5 linked regions of the Coturnix japonica genome follow. The protein of the gene in region 4 purifies or fractionates together with the protein of the main gene of each other region. This does not show direct contact. Links are inferred from orthologs where the notes say so. Each region holds a gene or a part of one and is shown on either strand. Other genes may lie near its edges.

Region 1 (3,516 bases), on a different chromosome or scaffold from region 4:
TTTTGTGTCATTTGATTATTATAATTGTCTTTCTCAAACTTGTGTTCTTGACAAACTAGAACTAATTGCATGATACTGTAATTACTGTAAATTTTATTTGGATAAGGGGTGTTATGTTAACATGGTTGTTTTAAACAGGAGTAGGAAAATATTTGAGCTGATAAATTAGTACAGGATGCTTTTGTTAAATCTTTGCACATTTTTTTTCCAGGGCAAAATATCATAAATTGAAGTATGGCACAGAATTGAACCAAGGTGACTTGAAAATGCCAACTTTTGAATCAGGTAACTTCTATGATAGTACCTGTTCTAGAACAATTTCTTTGTCCTGTTCTAGATTTGCTCAATTTAGTGTAACTTTCTCCTTCCCCCCTCAATTACATTATAGAGGAAAAAAAATCCAGGAAAAGTTTGATATTAGGTAAATATTTTTGATTCGAAATCATAATGAATTGACCTTTCTCTTCTGAAACAACTGTGAGTATCAGTGAAAGTTTGGAATAGTTGCACAATTCCTTATTAAGCTGCTGCTTCTCTTACTGCTTTTTAAATTGCTGTTATAAAAGATTTAGCATTTCGTGTCAGTTTGACATCCATCTAGAAGGGAAGTTTAAGTGTACAATATGTATCAGATTTACTGTTGTTTGGTGCTACCACAAGAAAAAAAACAACCTTCTTTAATTAAAAGAAACTACTGCATAAGACTGCAAGTAACTTAAAGATTGCTTTTTGTAAATAATTGCTTTTCATTTCATTGTTGCATTGTGAAAAGTCAATTTTAAAAATTAAACAAAACCACAAAAAAAACCTTCTGAAAACCAGTAACTGCAAATGGTGCTGTCTTTCAGAAGAAACCAAAGATACGGAGGTTCCTGCAGTACCTCAAAATAGCCAACTCACCTGGAAGCAAGGCAGGCAGTTACTAAGACAGTAAGTAGCATTGTTGGAATGTTGGTGTATTCATGCTTTTTCCTGAGGTCTCAGGAGCTGTGTATGTGCATACTTTTTGATTTGGAGTAGTTGAGGTGGTCGCACGGTGGACCATGATGCAGGAGTTTGTAGTTTTGATCTTTAAACAGTGTACGTGGAGCTTTTTTGTGTGAGATGGACAGAGATAAAGCTTATCTTTTGTAAAATATATTATAGTAGTATTAATTTCTAAGTGTCAGTTCAGATTTATTTCCTTTTTCCATCAACTGTGCTTTCTTCTTTCTCCTTTTAATATATATTAGGTATCTTCAGGAAGTAGGTTATACAGATACGATATTGGATGTACGCTCCCAGCGGGTAAGGTCTTTGCTTGGGCTCTCCAATTCAGAACCAAATGGTTCAGTAGAGACAAAGAATTTAGAGCAGATCCTCAATGGGGGCGAATCTCCTTCATCAAAACAAAAGGGACAGGAAATCAAAAGGTAAGTGAGGAGGTGAGAAATGCGTGTAGTTTAAGTTTGTCTATGTAGTCATTTTAATGTACCAAAGTTCGCGAAGAACTTCAGACTCTCAATTCTCTGAACTGTGAGCGTAGCTAACTACAAATGATTATGAACTTCATTGAAACTGATTGTATGCCTTGCATGGGAAAGATAGGGTTGTATGACATGTATTCAGATTCAGTGCAGCTTTGGAATTAACATTTTAAGGAAAGTTACAGCTGAGTGATGTAACTTGAAGAATTAGACTGCTGTAGAAACTTCATACAGTCATTTCTTGGTTTTTGCTAGTTTTTAAAATTGTTGAGCTGTTGAGTCAGACAGCCATTGTGTTAATGTTAATGAATCTCCCAAAAATCTCATGAGCAAGTAAAACTCTCTCCTTGTTAATTTTTTTGTTTTTGTAGGAACTCTGGTGATGTTCTTGAAACATTTAACTTCTTAGAAAATGCGGATGATAGTGATGAAGAAGAGGAGAGTGACATGATAGAAGATATTGCAGAAGGAAAAGAGAAGCACCGGATAAATAAGAAACACAAAGTAAAAAAACAATTTTAAGATATTGTTTTGCATGCACAAACTCTTATCTTAAAAGGGAAATATCTTTCCCTTTTTTCCCTAGATAGTTAAAATTATGTCCTTTCTCTTATTCCATGCTAGAAAATTCTTTCACTGTGATTTTTTTTTTTTTCACACAAGGAGGTTGATTTAGGGCAGTTATACCGCCAATTTTCTGTAGTATTCTGTAGTGTGGAAGTGCCTACGGCTGCCTTGAATTTTCATAAGTAACTCAGCTGTCATTCAACATTATCTCAGCTTAGTGTAAGTTTGAATGTCCCAGTTTGACTTGTTAGGAAGGTTTTTGCACTGTACCTGTAGTTAATAACTTGTACATCTAGTACAAGTTGTTGCTAAACCTCATGTCAGTATTCTTTTCTAATGATTACTTTACTGTGCTGCTCTCTTTTCTTCTGTAGTTGTTGTAAACAACTCTAGTTCTGTGTGGATTTGAATGTGTTTCATGTTGAAAATAAAGCAAAGTCTTCAATGAGCATAATCGCTATCATTTATAATTAAACATTTGAGTAGATAAAGGTTGGTGGTTAAAATGCAGAAATGTTCTTCATTTGATTGCAGATTGGTAATGAAGGTTTAGCTGCTGACCTTACTGATGATCCCGATACTGAAGAAGCCTTGAAAGAATTTGATTTTTTAGTGACAGCTGAAGATGGTGAGGGAGCTGGAGAAGCCCGAAGTTCTGGAGATGGAACAGAGTGGGGTAAGATGCTAACAAAACAATTTAGAAATGAAGTAATACTTGTTCATGACAGTACAGTACCTTCACAAGTTGCATGGGTGTGCGGATGGTTGTGATGCTGGTTATTAGCTATAAATGTATTGAATGTTGAAGCTTCCATATTTTATGTTATTTTAGTTGACAGAAATATAATTATACTTCCAAATGTTTTGCTTTTGATTCCAGAAAAATCCAATTAAAGGAATATATTGCTTGAATAAGACCAGGATTCTGAATGTTTTTGTATTTGAATTAAATTGGCTTTTGAATTTTGATTTGTGTTCTGTTTTTGTGATAGGGAGCTTTAGACTTGCGTTCAGCTTAAATTAATTTCTTTGGTGCCCTTGTAAAAATTAATTTTGAAGGTACCAAGGATTAGAAAGTGTTTGTTGCTTGGAAATAGCATCAAAAAGTCAATAACCCTTTCTTTTAAATTTTTTTCCAAGCTCATCTTTGTTTCTAGTTGGAAGGTGAAGGCATGCAAGTTGTACTACATACATAATACTACATACTTTTGGTAGTATTTACTGGGATTTAGAAGCATTTTAGTTGCCTTTAAAGACTATGTCATTTGACTAGTGTATTGGTCTTTTTATTTAGCCAAGCAGGCAGGTCTGTCAGTATGAGAATTCTCTTAGGCCCTGAAGCCAAGGTTCTGATTTTGAATTTGCACTTTCCTTTCAAATATTGAGTGCAAAGAATTCTGGTTTCTGAATCAGTCTTACCAGTATGATGTATAGGAAGACATACATAGCACTTCTTTTCTTTCATGATGTAGCTCTGTTTTCT
Region 2 (3,516 bases), on a different chromosome or scaffold from region 4:
TCAACAGTAAATTCCCATTTGAGCTCCAAAGTTCAAGATACAAAGGTACCCCATGTCTTTGTGATTTGGGAATTTTGCACCTTTTTGTGTCACGATAATGGAAAATTAGCACCAGTCTTATCTCAGTGGTAAGGAAGATGACCCTAACTTATCTCAATAACGTTTTTAAAATATCTACTAACAGACAAATAACACTACATTGTTAAGTAAAAATGCTTAGGGGCTGTCTGTATTTCTTAAAATCACATTTACAAGTCAAAGATGCAAGCTGTAGCTAAAGAGCAGCTAGGCTGCAGAATATAAGAGTATCTCATATGGCATCAGTTGAGCTGACTAGGTTACAAATTAGTAAGTCAAGTAATTGAGATAAAGACACTCTTTCCTCCTCCTGTTCAGTTTCTGCTTAGCAGGAGGATCACTGGGAAGATCCTGAGTGCTGCTGGTAAGTCACAGGGCCACTGGGACTGGGCCGCTCCATTCCTGTTAGTAACAACACTGGCTCTGCATCCTGACATGCAAGAAACTAAGAACCATGTAAAGCTCCAGAATATTTAAAATAAATTGTATACAGAGGGAAAAACAACCTCATCTGAAAGGCTGAACAGTTACAGAATCCTTGCAGTTAACATACGTTGTTTAAAGTTTTCATCATAACATTCAATTATCAAATGTGTTTTCTTACAAAGGAGAAGAGCTGAAGCTGACTGGTACTTGATGGCAGTAACCATCTGCTTATTTGAAGTTCAATAAAGTTGGTTACTTCTTAAATACTGAAATACACTTATGCTCTTTTTGCCACTACCTTTGAAAAGTATTTCTAGGAGCTATTTTCAATAATCTTTATGTATAAAACCAACAAGCCTATTTGATCACTCCTGATGTAATCTTGGTGCCAGTCATATCCACTAAGAACTGCTATTGCACTCAGCAGCCTAAGACTCTGCTTTCTATGAAATAACAGACCTTAAGTTTCAGGATCTAGCCTCAACATTCTTTAACCTTTAATTATTAAGTCATTTTGTACAAAACTGTACATACTTCATTTCCAGAAGAAGTCTACAGAATATGCAGAACAAAATACTGAACAGCTTCATACTAAGGCTGACAGCCATCCTCAGAACTACAGCTAATAGAAAGTTAGAAGCTACAGCAACCTTAGTTTTTACTTTTAAGAATAGACAGATAGTACTCTCGAAATGCTTGTCAGTACCAAAATTAGAGTCAGCATAAAAGATTATTTGGACACTTCTACCAAAGCCAATACACTCTCCCACCTGAGAAATCTCAAGCTGAAAGAACCAGTACTAGCAAACAAGGATGAATCTAGTCTAAGGCAGGGAAGAGCAAGCAATAAAATTAACTGCCATGCTAGTATGGGATTAAAAACAATCCTGTGATTTATTTTTTTAAGGGAAGTTTCTTAAGGGAAAATAAACAAAATTTCACAAACAACTCTACAAACATCACCCAAAAATGTTTCCCCCAAAATAGTAGACAAGAAAAACCAGGGGACCAGCATTAATCTTTCAGAATGCATTAAAAAATGGAAAGAACCCAAACAAGGAAAGTAATGCAGAATTAACACACTCCTGCGCTTGCCAGGAATTTTTAAAGAGCAGAAAACCCAGACCAGGAGCTGGAAGTTACATCCAACTATTCTGTCAGTGCTATACATTCATATACTTCCAATTTTTATCTCTGTAGGGCTGAGCATTGTTGTGTGTGTTGATGTTTCCTTTTTTTAAAGCTTGTTTCTTAATTTAAGCCTTAGATAACACGAGAGTTACATAACCACTTTGTACTGTTGTCAGTTCTACTTTGTTTCAGGCCTACTATAACACACAACTACAAACATCTCCACACGGTGCAGCGTTTCCTTCCATATCAAAGGAGGGTTTCTCTTTTTTGTTAGTCTAGCTATGAAAACATATTTTTCCCCCTCCAAAAAGGCTCAAAATTTCACTGGAAGTTGTGAGGGAAGAAAGAAGAGAAAACCTCTTCCTCCATGTAATTTTATAAGCTCAATAGCAATAGGAATCTTCTGTCAACTCCGCTCCTTTTGTAGCCATTTTGTGAAGATCTGAGCTTTAAGGAACATGCAGCAAAAGATGCAGAACAAAGGCAACTCCATTCAAAGGGAAAAACAGAAAGTCAAGTTGATGTGATAACACTTTCTCAGTTATAGGAACTTCCCTGTGCATCATTCAAAATGGGCTGACACATTGCTAGTAAATGTTTGTGCAGTAAGATACATTACCTTTAAATATGATCCATAGTATTTCGTTACATAAGGACTATCACACTGACTTAAAACAGTTATCTCTTGCTGTATATCTTCTATTTCATCTTCTGCTTCCTCGAGGTCTATGATTTTTATAGCAACCACTTGCTGCGTCCGATTATCAATTCCTTTAAAGACTTCACCAAAGGAGCCTTTCCCAATGCGTTCCAGTTTTGTGAATAATTCTTCTGGGTCTGCTCTATGGTTCTAGAGAAAAAGTTAAAATAAATAAATAAATAAAAGATGAGCTATCTTCATTTACTTCCAAGTTATTAGCCCTCATTAATGCCCATGAAACACATCACCCAGATTTATCATTATTAGAGTGCTCGTATCAGATGAATTTATTTCCTATACACTCACTTCTAATTCAGCTATTAGTTACAAAATGTATATTATACAATTATGTCAAAGGTAAGTGAATTTCACCATCGAAAGCAACAGGTACAAATCTCATTTCCCACATAATGCTTTTAAAGGAAAGAATAGAGCTGTTCTTAATACTGATCCTGTCTGTGTGGTAATTCAGAAGTCTACAGAATGCAATTACTGGCACAGAAGTGCTAACATCATTCCCCATGTGAATAAGGCTGGGCTCACCTATGAGGTCAACAGCCTTGGGCAGACAAAGCTCCACTTCAAGTAATAAAACACAGAGGTAGCTGCAAGAGGACTACAGCACCCGGAGCCCATTAGCAGCATCCTCCACCCAAGCACACTGAGCTTTTGAGATCTGCTAAGATGTAAGGCAACAAAAGGCACTGAGAGACATTCAAAGGAGTACAGATGCAGAAATTAAACTTGAAGCACTGGTCAGAACGAGCTGATATCACCCAAACACGCCTTGGATGAGGAACACAGCACCAGACAGTACAGCACTCATGAGGACATCTGGTTTCCTTGGAAGGTTAACTGCTCTATGATCAGCACTGACATCATACAAAGGTCTTAACGCTTCCCAGCTCCATTCAAGGAATCAGAGGGAAGAGAGAAGAGGACCTCTAACACTTGCAGCAACTTTGCTGCTGCTAACTTGCCGCGAACAAGAAAACCCAAAGGCCCTCTGATTCTGATGTCTCTCCTGTATCCCTACACGTCATGCTTACCCAGCAGATCAAGTGAACTGCCCTGACAGAAGTGACAGCTTTGGCAAAGGCAGCCATTGTGCATCTGCTGCATGGATTACCCTGCACAACACACAACTCTAGTACCAACGGGAAACAAAACATCTTTAC
Region 3 (3,516 bases), on a different chromosome or scaffold from region 4:
CTACAAGTTAGGTATTATAGATTATACAGATTGAAACATTATAGTCTGCCAGTGCATTCATTACTTAAGGAAAAAGAACAGTATTACAGTGACAAAATACTACAAGAAGCAAGGCAAATTGGAAGCATGTTGGAGGCTGCTCTCATGTAAGATAAAGGACAGAAGAATTAATAAGCTTAGTAAAACTACAGACTGTGAAAATGCACAGCAGTACATCACTGTATATTATACTGCTTTGTGTGTGGAATTTATAGTGGCAAGTGAATTTGTTAAAGGTATTTTCAGTCAGTGCAGATGGGTAAAGAGATTAAATTGTCTTATAAAGATGCAGATACTGGAGCTATACAGAAACTACTTCTGCTAATGATTATCATGTATGCCTAGAAATAATTGAGTGGAGGCAGCATAAAGGAGGAATTGTTTTGTTTATCACGCCATATTACACATCCGAGCTTTTGACCTTGATTGTTTCCTGTAATAAGCCTTGGCAAAGTGTTACGAAGAAACTCTGGAATAAAAGGCTGATGGACAGATAATCAGGTGTTTACACTACAGGGTGTTTACAAGGCCTTACTGTATAGCATTGTCAGTTGATTGAACCTTTTCAAATGGGTCATAGAAGAAGCAAAATACAGCATTAGTAAGGCACTTGCTGTCAGAAAGGATGAGTGTACAAGACAATTTAGAACTATAATTCTTAAATAAGAGGGAGAGACTTCTATGGTTTCAGTGGTTGTGAAAATCAAGATGACGTACATGTAGTGATGAACTATGCAACACCAACTGCTTGTTAAAGGTAAGAAAACAGTAGTAAAGTCTGTCTTCTTTGTAGTTTTAAAGTCACAGAAGTACTTTAAAGGGTTTTACTACAGTTCACACTGAATGTTGGTTTGTTTTTTTCCGCAACTTTATCTCTGATATAGAATTCATCTTCTGCATAAAAACATACCTCTTAGTAATTTTGGAATTGCTTTAATTTTACATTCATTACAATTTTATTTAGTGGTTACAGTTCTGTTTTTTTGAGTTCTTTCTGTTTAGCTGTTAATATGACAACTCTTAGTTCCTGTTCTGGAGACACTCACTGAGTTTGTGCCAGTGTTGTTGGTCATAATTTTACCCAGTTTTCATTCTCTCTGTTTATTTAGTGTTAACATCTAAGTAAGAGTCACTTAGTTGTCAAGGATGTTTTTTCATTATATTGTTTTATAATGGCCAACTTAGCATATTACAAAAGTTAATGGATGATAGATGTAGAGTTTTTTTTCCCACAAGATGGAGAATGTCGGTTAGCAGCAGCAAAGATTTCCTGTACCCTGGGGTACACAGGCCAGCTTAGTGTAGCTGCAACTTATACCCTGGTTCCTACAACTTACTGTGTTGATATATCAGTATTGATAAAACTTTGTGGTATGTAACAGCTGGAGAGTGCTTACAAATACTTCTAAAATTAAAAATGAAAACAGCAACAACAAAAAACTATAATGTGCCTGTCCTGGTAATTGCAGCTGGATAAAGAATAACAGTTGGTTGTCATAAGATGAATTTATGGATAACATTTAGATTTTTAACCAACAAACGTTTTTATCTGTAAATAGTCCATTTTTACCTGTAGGCTTATTTTAATTTCGTGTGTTGTTAGACGCCATAAAATAGAACAGACTGGTAAATGCAAAAGTGATGTTGTAATGGTTTCTTTTGACTCATAGTGGTTGTTGTTGTTGTTTAGGAAGCCAGAATTGACTGACTCTGCCTCTCTGCTAGAGACCTTCAAGTTCCTCGAAAATGCAGCTGCAGACTTTAGTGATGAAGAAGATGAGGAAGATATTGAAGGAAGAGAGAAAACAATCATTGATAGCGCAACAGTGAGTGGAAAAAATAATTGAAAAAGTTACGAAGAACAGAAAAAGTGAGATTAATGAGATGCCTATATGCAAAGTATATGACTGTGTATGTACACGTGCAAATCATTAATGCATCTTTATGATGGTCTGTCCAAGCATGTGTGCACAGGAGCAGTTCATGCATACAAGTTGAGCTTTGCTATCTGTCTTGCTGGAAGTTTGCAGTGACATACTTTGGACTTCTACTTTATACCAACTAGTAGTTTTGATATATGTTCAATGCAGTTTTTAAAGTACCAGATATCTTTATTATTATTTTCTAAATTTTTTCAGTGCGTTTTATATTTAAAGTGACTTGTAGAATTTTCTGCTTGTAGGGTTCAGGACTGAAATACCACCTTTGATTTAAGTGAGTTGTTGAAGAAAGAAAAAGTGTAACTGGAAATTTTTTAAAATGTGGTTTATAAACTTGTTTGTTTGTGTATTCAGTCAATGCCTGACTCCATTCCTCATGATGTGTACTTTGCAACGTGATTTGGTCAAATGATCATATTAAGTACATACATGCAAATTATACTCAATTTTATCCTTTTCTTTTTGGAATGAATACTTATTAATTGAACTGTGCTTCCAAAAAGTTGAAAAAGATATAACTTAACATGGATGCGATCATTTTTATGATCAACTGTAAGAATGAACTCTTAGAGTTGTAAAGGTTTTTTCAAAGAGGATCTTGTAGTTGGTGGGCTGTGAACTAATGTCTGAAACAGTGTTGAGGTTCCAAGTCAAAAATGCAGTTTAAACATGAAGTATTGTGTATAAATAACTAATGTCTGCGGACATGTTAAAATGAAATGATTTTTGCCAAACCTATGCAAATTAGTGCTTTCCTTAGGTATTTTTCTAGGCTAATCTTCTAGTTTTTTAGAGCGATTTCAGAGGTGAGCTGGGTTATTTTCAGGATAGAAGAACCAATTTGGCTTTGCTGAAGTTCTTCCTATGGCATTGTGTTGGGGTATTTTGTTCTTTGTGTATTTAGGTAGTTTTTCTTTTTCTTTTTCTTTTTTTTTTATCTCTATCAAAAGAAAGTTTGTACTTTTCTGGCATTTAAAAGACTGATAATCATATACATCATTGTAGATTCATTATCAAGTGATTGAATATTGATAGTTACAGGAAGTAATTATACAGGTGATTTTCATTTTTACTTTGAAATTTGAAGGAAACCTTTATGTTAATTTTAGGTTTATCAATTTCTTCCTGCTTCTTAAATTTCCTGTTAGAATTTTGTATAGAAGGCAGTACTGACAGATATAAACATCATGCCGTCTAATTCAGTTTTTTCTTTCCTTCCTCATATTTCAGATTGTAAGGAAAAGAGTGCTGTCTGACAGTAGTGAAGACAGAGATACAGAAGAAGCTCTGAAAGAATTTGACTTTTTGGTTACATCAGATGAAGGTGATGGGGAATCAAGAAGTTCAGGAGATGGAACAGACTGGGGTAAGGAAATGTAATGGAATGTATCAGGTGAAAGAAAATGCACTAAGAGTATGTGGTAATTTGTTGATTGTGGTCTCTGTCGTAATAGGAATGCCTTTTGAATGTTCATATAGTAAATTCCTTCATTGCCAGATTGAGATTCTTGTGACATGATTTTCTCATTTTTGTTTA
Region 4 (4,309 bases):
TCCCAGCTCCCACCTGCTGCCGGCCCCAGCCGCCTCTCCCTCCCTCCCGTCCCGCTCTGAGGCTCCCGCCGGCTCCCTCAGCCCGTCACCCGGCTCAGGGCGTTGCTCCTCCTGTGCCGCAGCTTCACGGGCAGCACCGCGCATGAGCCGGAGGCCGATCCACTCCTGCGCAGTCTCCAGCTCCACAGCCGGGGGCGGCCGCCGCTCGTTCCCTATGGTCGGGGCCCCGCCGAGCACGGCTCCGCCCTCCGACCCCCGCCCCTCCCCGGCAGCGCCGCGGCTGTTACACCGGGTAGGTTTCCAGTCACTATGGCGGCGGCTGCGCTGAAGGTAAGGGAGGGAGCGGGGCTCCGCCGCGCCCCCGCTGCTCCCTCGGGGTCGGGCGCCGCTGGGCCGGGGGGAGGCGCGGGGCCGCGCCGGGCGGGGAACGAATCTGACCCGGTTTGTTTTCGGCTCCGCAGGTCGGAGGAAAGTTTTCGCGGTCGGCGGCCGCCTGAGAGGCAGAGCTACCGAGCGGGCCCCGCCGCCAGGCCCTCACAGCGCCGGGCCCTCACAGCGCCGGGCCCGAAGGAGACGCGCTCGGCGTGCGGAGAAGGCGCGGGGCGGCCCCCCATGAGCGGCCACCTGCGGCGGGGCTGAGCGGAGCCGTGGGCCGCCCCCTCTACCGGAGCGGTGTGGGGGCTTCGGAGGGACTTCCTGGAGCCGCCCCCCGCCGGCAGCGACCCGGAGCCGCAGCGAGCTGTCAGAGCGCCTGGGGCCCAGCGAGCTGCCCGCCGGCCTGGAACTGAGAGCGGAGCCGCGAGCCCGTTCCATGCCGCACCGAGCTCCTCGGCCCAGCGGCTTCGCGGGGCTGTAGAGCGCTTCGGCTTTATCTGGGGTTCGGCGTCGCTCTGGTAGCCCGGCCCGAGGAGCGCCTGTCTGCTTTAATGGACGATGATGAGGAGATGCGGACCGCCCTGTGACACGACCCGATCCCCGCTGCGGAGTGCGGGCTCTGCGACCGCCTTTCTGCTCCGTGAGCTCTGAGGGAGGACTCGGGTCCTTTTCCCCCTTCCCTAAACCTCTCTTTGCTTCCATGGTGCGGTGGTCAGTGTTGTTTACGGAAGGGGGAAAAAAAAGGAGGCGGTCGAGGTCCCAAACAAAAGTATTTGTATGACTCATCCACTTGGATTTAAGACGTTCTCTCCTTCTCTCAAGGAGCCTTTCCTTCTCTCTGAAGAAATCAGATGCTTGTTCCTGTTCTTCCAGAGGAGGATGGATTGAAAGTGGTACGTTTTAGACATTTTCTGGGCCACTGCTGATGTTGTTAAGAGACATAATGGGGCTTTTTCACTGGATTATTGCCAGAATTAGTTTACACACTGAAACCATGAGTTGTTAGGCCTCTCGTATGCGATAATGTTTGTCGTGCTTTAATGTAAACTTGCTGTGGAAGTTTGGCATAAAAATCGTGGAGGACGGTCTGCATCTGCATCAGAAGAGGTTGTCTTCGTCTCTGGTTGGTGTGGCAACCCCAATCTGTCCTCGATGCCTTCAGCCTTGGCCATCTTCACCTGCCGCCCCAACTCCCATCCGTTTCAGGAGCGTCATGTCTACCTGGATGAGCCCGTCAAGATCGGCCGCTCAGTGGCTCGCTGCAGGCCAGCTCAGAATAATGCGACTTTTGACTGTAAGGTGCTGTCCAGGAACCACGCACTTGTCTGGTTTGATCACAAGACAGGCAAGGTAAGATGTTTTGCTTGCTTGATTTAAAAATAGCAAACCTTATTTATTTGAGCGAGTCCCCAAATATTGCAGATCACTTTTGTTTCACCGTAATAAACGTGGCTGTGTGTGGAAGGATTGTGTTATAGTTAGTGATTAATTCTCTGGTAAACTGATAATTTCTTACCAAGCTGAAACTTTGTCAGTTCTTAAAAGTACTTAAAGCTAACAGTGCTGAAAAATGTGCGTGCTGGAGTGCGTGATTTTGAGGTGAGTAATAATTACAGATATGGCTCAGACTTGTGTGAATAATACGTTTATTTTTTTTTCCAAATACTAAGAACTGATTAACTGAGCGTGTAAATAAATCCCATTTTGAGCAGCTGGCAGAAAGCAGATTTAAAAGCGTGCTGGGTTTGTGTGCTGCTCTTCCTACATTTTTGAAATCATATATAGCGTGTTTTGTTTGGACCCGGTGGGTAGTGGGGGTGTAGCAGATGGCATACAAGGTATTTTCTCATTGCTAGTGAAAATGGTATTAAAATCCATCCGGAGATGTATTAACCTGCTGCTGTTTCCCTCAGAAAGGCAGTAGCTGTGGTGTTATGTGAAATACACAGGTTCTGTAGTGCATGTTTTGTCCGCTAGGGTTTGAACTGGGACAAGTAAAGCCATTTCACTCAATGGCTGTGAACTTAAATTTCAACAAGAAGGGAACGAAGTGCAGATTTCAGTTGCTCTGTGCTGTTATTTTCTTCCTCATGTGTTGATGTTCCACCCTGAAACTCCACCTGGTACAAATTAGCTCCTTTTTCTTTTTCTCTTTAAGCTTCCCTGCACGCTCTTCTGAGAAATGCGGTCAGTGTAGCTCTTGATTTCAGGAATAATAAAGTCAGTAATGAATGCTGTGTTTTTTACTAGTGTGACACAGCATGAAGGGCAGTAGAACAAAGTTCTTAAACCTTCCATTGTTAGCTATCCCCTGTTATGCAACACCTGGGCATGATGGGACAAGACAAGCGTTTAATTTCGTGAGGCTGGGTTATGGCATGGCTTTCAAGTTACTTGTAATTGTGTGAACTGCTATCTGTGATTCATTAAAAATACTGTTTTGGATCTATAATGTTTGTGATATACATTCTTGGACACTCTTAAGATCTTAAGTGCATGAAATATGGCTAATTTTAGTTTAAGCTCAGTTTTTAACTGTTTTTTGACACAAAGGGAAAGGTTTTACTTTATTGTACTGATTTGAATTGTAAAGGTATTGTACATATGGTTTTTTTAATCAACATTTTCATTCTTAATAAGCATTTTAAGACCCTTATGTGCCCTGTGATGGCTATAAATACTCTAGGCGTATTACAGGTGGTTTAATTAGAGAAAACACTGAATGTTGAGCAACTCTGCTAACTCAGAGAAGAGGTGAAGAGGGACCCAGTTGTTGTTTAGTACTGTTCTTAAATATTTAGTTAGCATTAGCTCCTCTAACACGTGTCAAAAAATGATACGCTTATTCCTTTTATCTTTAGCTGATCTAAAATAGCAACTTGGTAGTAGTAAATAAGATGGTAACATGTGATAGCTCTTGAAATACCATCATGTGAGAAGTTGATGGGGGGAATCTTGATGAAAATTGCGCAAATGAGAATCTGGATCAGTAGCCATAGTGATAACTAAATAAAGAGTGGGGTTTCAGATGATGCACAGGAATGTATCACTGTACGTTTTACATGTTGGAGCATTGCAAAAGGCAGAAAGAATTGATAAAGCAGAACACAGAGCTTTGGATTCTGTTTGCTTCATGACAACAGTGGTACATTTAGGGAAGACGGAGTTGGAGGAGGGGGGGAAATGCAGTGAAGGAGAGAATATGAAGTGCTGCTGGGAAAAGGTGGGTGGTGGTAAATACAATCTTAATCTGGAATCACAAAAGCTGCTTAAAACGCTGTGGTGTGTTAAATGAATAAACAAAAACCTAAATTATGCTGGAATATTTGCATGCGGGAATGTTCATTGCCATTGTTTACAGATCTTCTCATACGTGTATCTCATGTAGGAACGTATCATTATCCTATCCGGGATGTATATATAGGTCTGCCCAAGTTGTTTTTGCCGTAGCGGTTGTAAACATTTCTTAGAAGCTTATCAATAAGACTCTTACCAATATTGCTTTTCTGAGAGATAAGACCGTGAAATGTTAACTTAATAACAAAGAGAAATCCTTGAGAAATGTAAAAATAGTTCATGAATCATCTGGGGCCAGGCGCTGCTAAGCTGTGTGCTTCGATGGCAATGGCAGATCCTGCATTCCCAGCCTGTGCTCTCTGCTGCCTCTCCAGCCGCCTTTCTGCTGTGCTGCTGGTTTTTTTCCTTGAGGGTTTGGAGTTGTGTTTGTTTTGTTGTAGTGAATCATGTGAATGGTCCTGTGTGTGCTACATAGTCTGCAAATAACTGTATCAGCGTAATCTGTAGGGAAGGGTGGAAAGTGGGGAGAGGGAGCATTAGTAAAGTATGGGCAAGACAGCTGGTCAGTAAACAAACTTTTTGAGGCAGAGACAACCTCGAAACTTAGTATAAGGGCAGTCCATATGTGCAAAAAGCT
Region 5 (3,516 bases), on a different chromosome or scaffold from region 4:
GCTTCTGTTCTTTAGCATTGTCCTTGCTAAACCATACAGTTCTCTCTGTTAGCTTTTTTGCTTTACCTTTTCCAAAGGATAAGTGGTCATTCTGACTGTGCCATACTTCGTTGTTCACCCCTTGGGCAGCCCATTAGTTGACTATATGGGAAAGATGTAGGTTGTACTTAACATAAGTTGCATTTCTGAACTGATTAATAGAGTAAGAAGGTGAAGGTTCCTCATAATGACCACAGTAGCAGTTTTCCAGCTTTTGACCTTATTTAATCTTTCTCTTTGGTTTCAGACACTGCAGCAGCTTTACCAGGATCTGCCATGGTCTGTTTCTCATTCCATTGATGCCCTCCCTACTTGTTTGCCACAGTTCAGGGAGCAAAACCAGACTGAAAGCTAATTGCTCCTTTTCCGTTTCTGCAGGATTTACTTTCAGACGTTTTAGCCCCCTGAGCTGCCTTTGTGACAGGTCACAAGGACACCACTGCTAGGACAGGCCTGGAGGGCTGTGGTCACTCACTGTAGACTCAGGCTGGTGTGAAACACTTGGTCAGGGCTTCAGTGGCACTTCCATGCCTGAGTTTTTAGAACCTGCTTAGGGAGGCTGCAGTATTCTTTGCCTTTGCTTATTCAGTTGTGCTGCTCTCCAGTATTTGACCCTTTGTTCTTCTTTTTTCACGTTTCATAGCCCTCATGTGGTGAAATATTACGGCAGCTACTTTAAGAACACAGACCTGTGGATCGTCATGGAATACTGCGGCGCTGGATCCGTGTCTGATATTATTCGGTTACGAAATAAAACTGTACGTAGTCTCCTCTGAATGCTGGGAATGGGGAGCAGGAGTGGTAGCTCAGGAAACTAAGTGGCATGTGCAGTGCTTTGGGTATAATTCTCATAGGTGTTTAACATCTAAAACAATCATGGGCCACCACTGCAATGTGGGTCCTTTGTTCCCCTGAAGATATGGAGGCTCGTTATGTTGATCAAGTTTGGGTTGTTTGGTTAATGCAATCAGTTTGCATGGTTTTGATACGGTGTTTGGTTGGCTTTCCTGAAAACCCAGATGGATTCAGAATTGACAGACTGCTTTGCCTTGCTCTGGCTTTGCAGGGTAAGAATTAGTAGGTGTGAAAGGCTGTGGTGCGGATGTGTAAGGATGCTGATCGAAAGCTAATTCTCATATGTAAGGCTGCTACCTTGGAGTATGTGTACTTCCCTATTAGTATGGCAACCTTTAATGAAAGCAATTAAATAACTATATCTCAGGGAGGTATAAACTGCGACACCACTGTGTGCCATCTCGGAAACCGAGAGGTTGAGAGTAACACTTCTTTTTAGCTTACAGAGGAGGAAATTGCTACGATAGTACAATCAACACTGAAAGGACTGGAATACTTGCATTTTATGAGGAAAATACATAGAGATATCAAAGCTGGAAATATATTGCTAAATACAGAGGGACATGCTAAGCTTGCAGATTTTGGAGTGGCAGGACAACTCACAGTAAGTAAAACCAAGATGATTATGTGCACTTCAGTTCTTCTTTCTAACGTACACATAAGCATCATGTGCTTGTGGAGACCTTGAGACATTCAGAAGTGTTTTTAGCACTTTACATCAACATAATGAGACACTAAAGCAGCAGCAAAGCTTCCTCTGTGGGAGCTGTTAGGCCTAAGTAATGGTTTGTAATAATGTATGCTGTTTGCTTCAGTTCATGTCTGACATCTGCGAGCATATTTCAGTTTCTCTCTGCAGCTTTCCATATCTTTATCTTGCTTAATCTGGTAATATATGTGTGTGCAGGTGGAAGATAATTAGGATTGTAAATGTGTGCTCTGGATCTTTATCCTGCTCTTCTTTTCAGGATACCATGGCAAAGAGGAACACAGTTATAGGAACTCCATTTTGGATGGCTCCAGAAGTGATTCAAGAGATTGGATATAATTGTGTTGCAGACATCTGGTCGCTGGGAATCACTGCAATAGAAATGGCTGAAGGCAAACCACCATATGCAGATATTCATCCTATGAGGGTGAGGGCTGTGACTTTAAAATGCATTGCGATGCAAAAGTGATTTGCTATTACAGCTGGGTGAGTGATGCATCAAGATGCCATCTTGTTTATAATTTAGAGGATATGATTTGCTTTCTGTCAGTTTGTTGTGCTGTTGATTAAATGAAAGATGGAGGAGGAAAATCATGATCCTCATCTATCAAGGCACAGCTGAAACTTCTGCTGTTGAGTGTGAATACAGATACTTTATGCTGTGGATCATACAAAATGATTCTTTATCTTGCAAGCAACCACATATTTTTATGACTTTAAAATGGCAGATTCACACCTCTTGGTGCAGATAATGGCTCAGACAGACGTGTAGGCTTCTAGTGAGAACAGCCTGATTTGTTGTTCCATCCTCTGAGCAGCTTAATGTATAAAATATTGGTACAAACTCTTCAGAAGCAGCAAACTTGAACCATGTATCATTCTTTAGTGCCTGTGGATGTTTTGATTCATTTTTGTTAGGAGGTTTTAAACTCTGTTTGGAAACCTGGAATATTCTTCTCTTTTTAGGCAATCTTCATGATTCCTACCAACCCACCCCCAACGTTTCGGAAACCAGAGCTCTGGTCAGATGCTTTCACGGACTTTGTGAAGCAGTGTCTGGTCAAGAGCCCCGAGCAGCGTGCTACTGCAACACAGCTCCTGCAGGTCTGCCTTGTCTTGGGAGAATGGGAATGTTAGAGAAGGCTTGCTGTAGTGTAGGCAGTGCTGCGCCTATTTGGCTGATGTAAAAACCCTGTACCCAACTTCAACCTTTCAGTTCTTCCTTAAGATCTAGTCTGAATCCTGTCTTTGTGGATGCTTTTGTTTGTTGGTGTTGTTTTTTTTTAACCTTCAGATTCTCACCAGCAATGCCAAGTAACTGGCTCTTAACCCACCAGAAAGGAACTAGATGAACTTTAAGGTCCCCTCCAACCCAAGCTATTCTGTGATTCTAAGTAACTGCTCAGAATGGTGCATGCATTTGTAGTTGGTTGTCGACAATTGAGCTGGTGAGGAATAAGTAGTGCTTGTGTGTGGGGAATGAGCCCCAGTAACCCCATGGTAATGATGTTCTACTGCTCTGTGTTAGTTCAAGTGCAGTGCTTACTAACTTTAACATACCACACAGCATCCATTTGTTAAGAGTGCCAAAGGAGCATCAATCCTGCGCGATTTGATTAACGAAGCGATGGATATAAAACTGAAACGCCAAGAGGCACAGCAGCGTGAACTGGATCAAGAAGATGAAGAAAATTCAGTGAGTATTTAATAGCTACAGTATACAGAGCTCAGCCTCTTGGACCTCGCATAATGCTAAGCTGCTTTGTTCCTTATTTTTATAATGTATTGTTCAGCTGCCCATGGGTTTTATATGATTCTTGAGTTTTGTACTTAGGGCTGCTTAACTTGATGTTTGAGCTCTGCTCAACCTTTATGTTTGAATGGGGCAGTCAGCAAATATGACCTTGTATTTA

The links.
Region 1: the proteins of SLMAP (region 4) and STRN3 purify together in Homo sapiens (affinity purification with mass spectrometry; 5 studies listed by BioGRID and IntAct, with this or other methods). This does not show direct contact. The link is inferred for Coturnix japonica from reciprocal best matches to the Homo sapiens genes SLMAP and STRN3.
Region 2: the proteins of SLMAP (region 4) and STK26 purify together in Homo sapiens (affinity purification with mass spectrometry; 5 studies listed by BioGRID and IntAct, with this or other methods). This does not show direct contact. The link is inferred for Coturnix japonica from reciprocal best matches to the Homo sapiens genes SLMAP and STK26.
Region 3: the proteins of SLMAP (region 4) and STRN purify together in Homo sapiens (affinity purification with mass spectrometry; 5 studies listed by BioGRID and IntAct, with this or other methods). This does not show direct contact. The link is inferred for Coturnix japonica from reciprocal best matches to the Homo sapiens genes SLMAP and STRN.
Region 5: the proteins of SLMAP (region 4) and STK4 purify together in Homo sapiens (co-immunoprecipitation; 3 studies listed by BioGRID and IntAct, with this or other methods). This does not show direct contact. The link is inferred for Coturnix japonica from reciprocal best matches to the Homo sapiens genes SLMAP and STK4.

Annotation. Positions count from the first base shown.
Region 1 is NC_029520.1:30,872,851-30,876,366, forward strand, and holds part of STRN3 (striatin-3), read left to right. Parts: intron 1-211; coding exon 212-285; intron 286-848; coding exon 849-930; intron 931-1,232; coding exon 1,233-1,412; intron 1,413-1,837; coding exon 1,838-1,970; intron 1,971-2,567; coding exon 2,568-2,709; intron 2,710-3,516. UniProt on the Homo sapiens protein: Calmodulin-binding scaffolding protein which is the center of the striatin-interacting phosphatase and kinase (STRIPAK) complexes.
Region 2 is NC_029519.1:3,354,150-3,357,665, reverse strand, and holds part of STK26 (serine/threonine-protein kinase 26), read right to left. Parts: intron 2,489-3,516; coding exon 2,258-2,488; intron 1-2,257. UniProt on the Homo sapiens protein: Serine/threonine-protein kinase that acts as a mediator of cell growth. Modulates apoptosis. In association with STK24 negatively regulates Golgi reorientation in polarized cell migration upon RHO activation.
Region 3 is NC_029518.1:28,874,075-28,877,590, forward strand, and holds part of STRN (striatin), read left to right. Parts: intron 1-1,729; coding exon 1,730-1,865; intron 1,866-3,209; coding exon 3,210-3,345; intron 3,346-3,516. UniProt on the Homo sapiens protein: Calmodulin-binding scaffolding protein which is the center of the striatin-interacting phosphatase and kinase (STRIPAK) complexes.
Region 4 is NC_029527.1:6,442,465-6,446,773, forward strand, and holds the start of SLMAP (sarcolemmal membrane-associated protein), read left to right. Parts: upstream 1-1,504; 5' UTR 1,505-1,527; coding exon 1,528-1,725; intron 1,726-4,309. UniProt on the Homo sapiens protein: Associates with the striatin-interacting phosphatase and kinase (STRIPAK) core complex, forming the extended (SIKE1:SLMAP)STRIPAK complex.
Region 5 is NC_029535.1:4,579,247-4,582,762, reverse strand, and holds part of STK4 (serine/threonine-protein kinase 4), read left to right. Parts: intron 1-682; coding exon 683-797; intron 798-1,333; coding exon 1,334-1,498; intron 1,499-1,862; coding exon 1,863-2,030; intron 2,031-2,569; coding exon 2,570-2,707; intron 2,708-3,170; coding exon 3,171-3,299; intron 3,300-3,516. UniProt on the Homo sapiens protein: Stress-activated, pro-apoptotic kinase which, following caspase-cleavage, enters the nucleus and induces chromatin condensation followed by internucleosomal DNA fragmentation.